Canis lupus familiaris: one gene and its partner. The protein of the gene in region 1 interacts with the protein of each later gene in a pairwise test. Links are inferred from orthologs where the notes say so. Each region holds a gene or a part of one and is shown in the gene's direction. Other genes may lie near its edges. The genes, in order: NFYA and GTF2A1.

The links.
Region 2: the proteins of NFYA (region 1) and GTF2A1 interact in binary tests that used the Homo sapiens proteins (3 or more experiments, as listed by UniProt). The two-hybrid records come from large-scale screens. The link is inferred for Canis lupus familiaris from reciprocal best matches to the Homo sapiens genes NFYA and GTF2A1.

Annotation. Positions count from the first base shown.
Region 1 is NC_049233.1:10,014,118-10,018,357, forward strand, and holds the start of NFYA (nuclear transcription factor Y subunit alpha), read left to right. Parts: upstream 1-1,402; 5' UTR 1,403-1,483; intron 1,484-1,723; exon of another isoform or gene 1,724-2,199; intron 2,200-2,357; exon of another isoform or gene 2,358-2,501; intron 2,502-2,849; exon of another isoform or gene 2,850-2,874; intron 2,875-4,240. Other genes in the region: ADP-ribose glycohydrolase OARD1, read right to left, coding at 355-499, 1,083-1,121. UniProt on the Homo sapiens protein: Component of the sequence-specific heterotrimeric transcription factor (NF-Y) which specifically recognizes a 5'-CCAAT-3' box motif found in the promoters of its target genes.
Region 2 is NC_049229.1:53,872,185-53,876,680, reverse strand, and holds the start of GTF2A1 (transcription initiation factor IIA subunit 1), read left to right. Parts: upstream 1-1,633; 5' UTR 1,634-1,839; coding exon 1,840-1,869; intron 1,870-3,179; exon of another isoform or gene 3,180-3,198; intron 3,199-4,496. UniProt on the Homo sapiens protein: TFIIA is a component of the transcription machinery of RNA polymerase II and plays an important role in transcriptional activation. TFIIA in a complex with TBP mediates transcriptional activity.

The DNA of each region.
Region 1 (4,240 bases):
CAGAGGATCTTGAATGTCGGGTTAATACCTGTAGACTTTGCTGAGCACCTTGGTTATTGAAGGTTTCAGAAAAGTGGAGTAATATCAAGAAAGTTTTAGGATAGAGGAAGAGATTAAAAACCTTTACAAGAATTCAAGTTTGGTGTGGTTAAGACCCAAACTAGAGGCCATTTTTGTAGAGGAATACCTTAATCTGAAGAGTTACAAGTACTCAGTGGTTAGGAAACCAACCCCCCCCCCCTCCCCCCGCCCCGCCTCAATATGTATATCCTGGTCTAATATTTAAAATATAACAGGAGGCCATGATGCTGCTCTACACAAGGCACACTAATTGAGCTGTTTTTCAAAACTCACGTTGGTTTAACAGTTCCTGCACCCCTCCAAATTTCTTCTTGAAGAGGACAGCTATCCCAGCACCCATTCGACAATCCTCACTGATACAGTGGGCTAAAGAGTCTGTTTTGGGGCATGCAAAAAGGTCTCCTTTCACATAAGTGATCTAAAATGTGAAAAGGGAAAGAAGAGGTTTTATTTGATACAGAAAAACACTAAGCCTAGTTCTTTCATTTCCCTTGACTGCGTCCCCCACCTCTACCCCTCCTCGATTGAAAACCAGATCCACAGGGTCGCCTGGGTGGCTCGGTGGTTGAGCCTCTCTCTGCCTTTGGCTCAGGGGGTGATCCCAGCATCCTGGGATTGGGTCCCAGCCTTGGGCTCCCAAAGAGCCTGCCTCTCCCCCTGCCTGTGTCTCCGCCCCTCTCGGGGTCTCTCATGATTAAGTAAATAAAATCTTTAAAAGTTACAAATAAATAAAAAAAATAAAAATGAAAACCAGATCTGCAGAACTTAAGGGAGTCAACCACCACAAACTAAAGAATGTGTAAAAGCAAAGTGATGGATGGGGTCTCTGCCCGGACTCTTTCAGCCTTTTTGAAGCAAAACAGCTGGAGAAGGTAGGGAAGAAAATAAAAAAGAGAGAGTGAGAGACAATTCGATTATGGCTTTAATTAAAAAGTGTTTATGCTTTTGACCTCAATTACTCTGAATTTCTGTTCACCAATAAGTTAACAGTCGCTACGCACTCTGCTTCCTTCCGCATCTTCATGAGGGCTGCCGGCCATGATACGGAGTCGCTATTCCCAGAACTTAAGGGGTTTCTCCAGCTGAGAAGGGAAAAGGAAGGAACAATGCTTAGGCGGCCTCGATATACTACAAAGCGCCCTGACCACCCATTTGGCTGGTGATGCCTTCCCGCACCACTTGTCGCTGGGCCTCGGGGACGGGATGCGAAGCTCTGCTGGGGCAAGGGCCGAGCCGGGCGGGGGCGGGGGCGGGGGCAGAGGCGGCCGGGCCCGCTCGCTTTCCGCGCTGTCGTCGGCCGAGAGGCGGGCCCCGCGAGGCGCCGCCTCCCTTGTCCGCTCCCGGGCGCGGCGGGCTTGGGGCAGTCTCCTCTTCTCGGCACGACCCAAGCCTATTTCCCCCGGTGGGTCTGGCCGGGAAGAGAAAGGGAGGGGCTTGGCCACAGTCCCGCTGAGCGTCCGGGCCGGAGGGCGGGGGACGCGGGGGACGCGGGGGACGCGGGGGACGCGGGAAGCGGCCTCTCCGGGAAGGCGCAGGCGAAGGCGGCCAAGCGAGGCCTGCCACCCCGCCTCCCACCCCGAGGGCGGCCAGCGAGGGGTCCCGTGGGCAAGAGCGGGAAGGCCCGCTCGGAGCCTCGACGTACCGGGGTTACCCTCCACCGGGTCAGGAGTCGGCCGTTGCGAGGTCCCGCCCCGCGGGGAAGGGCTCGGGATCCGGCCCTGGTAGGTGGGAAGCCGCGCACGGACCCCCGACGCGGAGCCAATCCCGCCGCAGCCCTATATTGCGCGCACGTAAGATGGCCGCCCGCCGCGCGGGAGCGGGGCGGAAACAAGCCCCTCTAGCTGGCCCGCCGAGCCCGTACTCTTTGGTAATGGCCGCCGAACTTCCGGCGGTAAGATCCGTGGAATGTCCCGCCGCCGCCCGGGCATGCGTAACGAGACAGCCCACCGCGAGTGGGGGAAGAACGGCGCTTGCGCATTAGCCCCCGGGGGGGGGGTGTCTCCAGCGACCGCAGCGAAAGGGGTGGGCAGTTGGCAAAGGCGCTAGTTAGCGCCTGCGTAGTGCTATGTCGAGGGCGGCGTTTGAGTTCAAGGATCTGGCGCCTCTCGAAGGCGCCTGCGTGTTCCTCCAGCCCGCGGCGGTGTCAAATCAGAGAAGTGGGCGTGGCTCCGCGGCACGCCTGCGCGATGCTCCTCCAACGGGGGGTGGGGCGAGCCCGCTGCTGGGGTTAGGGGGCGTGGTCTCCGAGGCGCCTGCGCGGAGGCGGTTGGAGGGAGGCCCGATTCCCCTTTGTTCGGGTTCGCCATTTTGCGAGGCAGCGGCAGTGGCGGCGGCAGCGGCGGCTGGAGCCTCTGATTGGGTTTCGGGGTCCGGTACTGGAGCCAATCAGCGCGGGCAGCGAACCGGGGGAGCGAGGCACGGTGAGTGTGAGGAGCCAATATCCAGCGGCCCAGAGCCGGCCCCAGCGCCCCGATTGGCGGGTCTCGCTGACCACTCAGGAGAGGCCCAGGCGCCCGTCGAGCCCCGGGAGTCTCGCTGAGCCCAGCCGAGCGGGGCGGCCGGCGGCCCGGGCCCGGGGCCTGGGAGTGCCCCGGGCCACTCCCGGCCGGGGCCTGCAGGGGGCCGCCCCGCGCGGGGACGGCGCCCTCGGAGCGAGCAGCTCGGGGTCCAGACCCTTGCAGGGGGCCTGTGCCGTTGGGGATGCGCCCGCTTTCTTGGGCTCTTCAGGCCCAGTTGTCAGGCCCCAGGCTCGGGGTTCGTGGGCCCGCTTGCCACCAGCGCCCCTCCGCCCAGGTCCACGCACGCCCGGGGCCTTGGTCTCCTCCAGATCGCCCCGGCCTCACACTCAAGTCCGCCCTGGCCCCCTCCGTGCTCTGGCCCTCGGGGCGGGCGACCTTCCGGGGGCCCCGCCATCCCTGGCTCCCCGGGAGCCGGGTCTGCTGGCCTGCCCCCCCCCCCCGCCCCCGCCCCCACCCCGGCCCCGGGTCGCGAGTGAGGCCCCGGGGAAGGTGCGCGCCGCGGCCACGGGGCCCTGACCGCGGCGGGGAGAGGGAGCGGGCCCGCCGCGCCGGCCCCGGGGTCGCGGGAGGGGGTCGGTTGGCGCGCCCACTCCCCGGCCCCGCCGCGCCCCTCCTCTCCGCACGCTCGGCCCGGGGCTCCGGCCCGGCGCCGTTACCACCCCCTTTTGGCTCGTCATTTCCTCTTCTCCCCGCCCCGCTCGCCCGGGAAAGAACCGCACACCTCCGTCTTGGAGTCCGACCAAGCGGTCTCCCTTTCTTGTCCCGGCCGTGCAGCCGGCCAGTCCACTGGGTGCCTGCAACCTCTCACTCTTAGAAGATTGCCAGCCCTGCGCGTTCCTTTTCCCGGAGGCTGCACGCACAACTTGTTTCTCGTATTACTAGTTTTCTCCTTCGCTCCTCTGGCGGACTCTCCCTCCTTTGGGAATGCAGATTTCTTTCTTTCTTTTTTTTCCCCTTTCACTTTGCACGTGTCAGGTTTGACCCATTAGTGCAGTCCACAGCCGTCTCTTGATTTATTATTTTTTTTCTAGCATACTTTGTAACTCCCTGTTAATGTTTTCCAAGTAGGTATTTATAGAGCGTTAACAATATTGTGGGGTTTTCTGTTAGGGTGAGACGAAATCTCCATTGACAGCCATGTCTCTAGCAGTTAGTATGTACCAAGCATCAATCTATATGCTGGGGAGGAAGCAGATAGAGGTCAGTAAGAACCTTGCCTGCCTGGTGGATTAACAAGTGGACAGCTAATTAATATTTAACAGTTAGTGCTATAATGAGGCCAAGTTCAGTTCTGTGAAGTACTGGTGTGTGAGCTCCTAACAGCCTTGGTGGAAGATTCGATGTTGCCACACTTTCCATTGGCCTTGAAGGACAGACAATAGGATTTTTTCCGACAGGAAAGAATGGAAGAGCATTAGGCACAGAGAGAAGAAGAGGATGTCCAGAGATACCAAATTATGCTGTGTTTAAGGGGGAAGAATTTAGGCTGGAAAGACTAATTGGTAAAAGCACCTGTATATCTTGATTAGGGATTTTCAGAAGCAGTTATCTTTTGGAGGTTCAGATGGAAGTAATCTCAAAGTGTATTTTTTTCCAGGATTGGAAAAAAAAAGTTTCTGACCTGTGGGCTTCTGCTCCAC
Region 2 (4,496 bases), on another chromosome or scaffold:
TGGATAGTCTCCATGCCCGTCACAAACATACCGACAACTTCCCATTTTCTGAGTATTAATGGCTTCTGCTCTAATTTCTTCCTGCAGGTCCTGGCAGGTTGCAGCTTTTCCTCTCTCGTACATCGCCTTTGATTATTTCCCCAAATATACTTTCGGTGGCATACGAACTTTGACATTTCGTTTTGCTTTGCGAGGAGGATCCACTCCTTCACTTGCCCGGACTACAGTCCACGTCTCTCCAAGTTCCTAGGGGCAGAATTAGGTGCGGCGAGCTCTGCCTTCGAAGCGGAGCACTCCCCGTTCTGCGTGACACGCTGCCCCGAAGGCGGGAGTCGGGAGCAGCGCAGGTCCGGCGCCTCCTGGTTCACACTCCGACACGTGGGCTTCCTCTGCTCGCTCCGGCGGCGAGAGGCCGCGAGACGGGGCGGCCCCACCGAGGTATTTCCTGTCAGTCCCAGGCGCGGGCCATGCGGTCACAGGATTTCGGCAGTTTTTAAAAATCGAGGGGGGACGTTATCGTGCTGTCATAATCCGGTGATATGCAGGTCGGTTTTTTTTTTTTTTTTCTTTTTTTCCTTTCGGCATTTCCACCACGGAAGTACTAGCACGCTAGTAAGGGGCCGAACCTCGGGGAAACTTAAGCCCAGGGCCTTTTAGCTGTACCGGTGGAAACGACTCAGCCGGTTCAGGGGTCATTAATTCTGAAATGTGTTAGCAGCGGGCTCAAAGCAGCTCTCCCCCTTTAGGAACACGTACACGATCTTGCCGGCGAAGGGCCCGGCCTTCGCGACGCGAGAGGAACCGACGCCTCTGAGCGCCGAGTCCACGACGAGCTCACGCCCCGAGATGACTCCGCATTTAAACTCTGCCCGGAGTCCGAGCGCTCCGGGGGCCGGAAGCGGGGCCACGTGACCGGTCCGCCTCCGCAGCCATTGCTAACGAGGCAGCCGCCAGCGCCCCTTCTGTATTTCCTCGCTTCTCCAAGCGCAGGGAGACGCAGAAACACCTGACAAGAGTTGGCTGCCAGGTAGCTTTGGACTTGAGGGTCAACACCACTCATGCTATGTCCAGCGATACTTTGCAAGCCCCTCAGCCTAAAACAGCTGTGGGGCACTTCCGCCTGGGTGGCAACCAGGTGATCACGCGAGACTTGGGGAGCCGGCCGGACGACTCGACTACCCCAGTCCCCGCGCTCCGCCAGCCCAGCACCCTCCGCTGCGCGTGACGACGCGGCCCACGGCGGCCTCCGCCCCGGCGCGCCTGCGCACGCGGCTCTCGCGGTGTCTCGCGCTCAGCCCCGCCCACCTCTGCCCCCGCCCTTTCCGCCCCTCCCTCCCCCTCCGCCCTGTCTCTCGGCGGCAGCGGCGGCGGCGGCGGCTCGCGCAGCTCGTTGGCTCACTATATAAAGGGGAGAAGCGGGCGGACCGGACGGCTGGAGCTGCAGCCGGTGGCGGCAGCGGCGGCGCGGGGAGCGGCGACCGGTGGTGGTTTCCCTCCTTGGCGCGGGGTGGGGAGCGGGCAACGCCCCCCCGGACCCCAGAAGGGTCGTGGCTTTTTTTTTTTTTTTTTTTTTTTTTTTTTTTTTTTTTTAAGGGCGATTCTCGAGGTTTTTAGCTCGGGGAGGACTGCCCCCCTCCTCCTCTTCCTCCTCCTCCTCCTCTCACCGCTCCCCTTCTACTCTTTCAGGATTCGATTTTGTTTGAAATTTTTACCCCCAATCTTGCGGTGGCTTGGGCCACCCTCCGGGTGTTTTGGTTTTCTTTTTTTTCTTTTTGGTTTTTTGTTTTTAATCTTGTTTTCTCGGGGTTGCCCCCCCTCTTGTTTGTGTTGTGTGTGGAAATGGCGAACTCGGCAAATACAAACACCGTGGTAAGGACGTGGTTTGGTGGCCGGCGGGGGCTTCGTCCGGGCGGCAGCAACGGCCGGACCGGGCGGGGGCGGGGACGGCGGCGACTCCCGGCCTCTACTCTCCTCAGCCGCCCGCGCGGCCGCCGCCGCCGCCGCCGCCGCCGCTTCCCGCCTCGGGCGGAGCGGGCCGGGGCGGCGGGCGCGGGGGGGGCGGGGGGAGGGCGCCTCGGGCTGGCGGCGGCGGCGGCGGCGGCGGCGGCGGCGGGAGGAGGGCGGGGGCGCCGGCGGGGCCTGGGGCCGCCGCGGGGCGGTCGGGGCCGCGCAGGCCGTTGGGCCGGGGCGAGCGCGCGGCTCCGGCCGCAGACCCCGGCCGCCGGGAGGGCGGGCGGGCGGGCGTGAAGCCTCCGCTTCCCCCCCTGCGCCCCCCCCGGGGGCCCGGCCGCGCCGGCTCGACACGGGCGCCCCGAGCAGCCTCCACAGACAAAACCCGCGTCTGGGGAATCGGGCGAGTCCCCAGGACCCGCCGTGTGGCCCACTTCAGTGCAGTGGAAGGCGAACGGCTACTTTGGGGGTTACTTGGGATGTTTCTGGCGGTTGTGCTTATTAGGGGGAGCCTTCACTGAGGCCATTTTATATTTCTTAAAAAAAAAAAAAAAAAGGAAAAAGGAAAGAAAAGGACGAAGGTTGAAAAGCACTTATCTCGGTTCCTTCCGAATCGGTAAAATGGCGAAGGGGAAGCAACACCCCCCCCCCCCATCGTATCTTCCACTAGCAAAAGCACCAAAGCAAACAAACAAACAAACAAACAAACAAAAAAGCCTACAGTGGTCCCAGCGCCCCTGCTTTCGCCTTGAAATTTGCCTACGTCTCCCCCCCGCCCCCCCCCCGTTTGTCCCTTTTTGGTTACTTGCGATCACGTAGGTTTGCAAAAAGCAGTCACATAAAAACAACCTTGTCCGTCACCAACGCCAATGCGATCACTAGTCCACCCCACTCTTATTTTTATTCTGACCGTAAAAACACGTTTTTGTTTTTGTTTTTTTGTTGTTTTTTTGTTTTGTTTTTTTTCCCGGTCCCAAACGCCGCAGACGAGCCCGCGGCCGCCCGACTCCGTACCGTTGGCGACTCGGGTCGATCCATCATGGCTGCGGCCGCTTACCCTGCTTTTGAGTCCCTGAGCCTTGTGGTCCTCCTCCCTTTGGCTGCCCTGTTTATATAGAGCCATTGCCGCTCTCTAATATAGACTCTGCCAGGATGGGAAGGTGCTTTTCAGGCCTACGTCACCGCCTCTCCATTTAAACACTAGATCCGGCTTTAAATAGTGAGAGCTGCTGAGAGCGGGGCTGGGAGGTGCGTGCTCCCGAGGCGAGAGGCAGGAGCGAGCCGAGCGCCCGGTTTATATCTAGGTCCTTCAGCTGCCACTGGGATTTCGCGCCCGACGGGGCCGCTTTCGGAGGGGGGGGGGGGTCCCCAAGTTTTTTTGTTTGTTTGTTTTGACGCAGCAGCTAGGGTTTCCTGCCTTTGTTGAGGGGGCGGGGGGGGGGGGAACGCAGAATTGCTGTCCCTTCTTATATTTTTATCTTTGCTTTTAAAGAGGATTGTAGCTCAGAGGTCTGTGGTCATTTTTGTATTGGGAAATGCGTTATTGTTGGGCATTTAAAGAAAACGACAACAGAAACACCGCTTCCTACATTAACTCTGAGCTGCAGGGTACTTGATGACTCTGATAGTGTTTCGTCCATCGAGTATTCAGAAAATGTGTTAGAAATAAAGCTCCTATATGCCATTGTTTTTCTGTAATGTTAGACACAAAGCTTTTTTGAAGATAAAGTGCCTAAAGCTTCAACGTGTGGACCTTATGTCCACAGTGCATCTATTGTATGTAGGGAAATTGTGAGTAATGAGAGGGGAGGCTTAGTGCAAACTGGATTTTTAAAATATTAAAATTCGAAGTTGACGTTGTCTTTTGATTTCATTGGATATTAACGTTCAAGATAGAAGTTAATTTGGTTTATTTTTCCAGTATTCTGCCTCCCCGGGGTGGGGTGTGGGGGGACTGACACTTTGGAAAGGAACCTCTTAATTAATCATGAGATTAGTGGCTCTTTAATTTACCTTTTTTTAAGTTTGGAATACCTGTGTTTTGAAAGCCAAGAAAAACCTAAATTACTTTGTATTTTGTAAAAGGCAAACATTTTGATTCAAATAAGGTTTAGCATTTTAAATAATAGCTTGGAAGTTGCTTATTTCAGATAGTACCCGCATACCCCCATGCTTTTAAAAACATCAGTTTTTGGGGATCCCTGGGTGGCTCAGTGGTTAAGTGTCTGCCTTTGGCCTGGGGCATGATTCTGGAGTCCCGGGATCGAGTCCCCCGTGGGGCTCCCTGCATGGAGCCTGCTTCTCTCTCTCTGCCTGTGTCTCTGCCTCTCTCTCTCTCTCTCTGTGTGTCTGTCATGAATAATTAGATAAAATCTTAAAAAAAAATAGGTATTTAAAAAAATCAGTTTTGGGGGGTATATCAACTTAGGAACAATTCAACTAAATTATTCTCTGTATGTGTACTTTGCGAAGAATACACATTTCCCTTTATAGTGCTTTTATGAATCCGGTAAATGGTCAGGTTGTGGGTTAACTAAGGCACATAA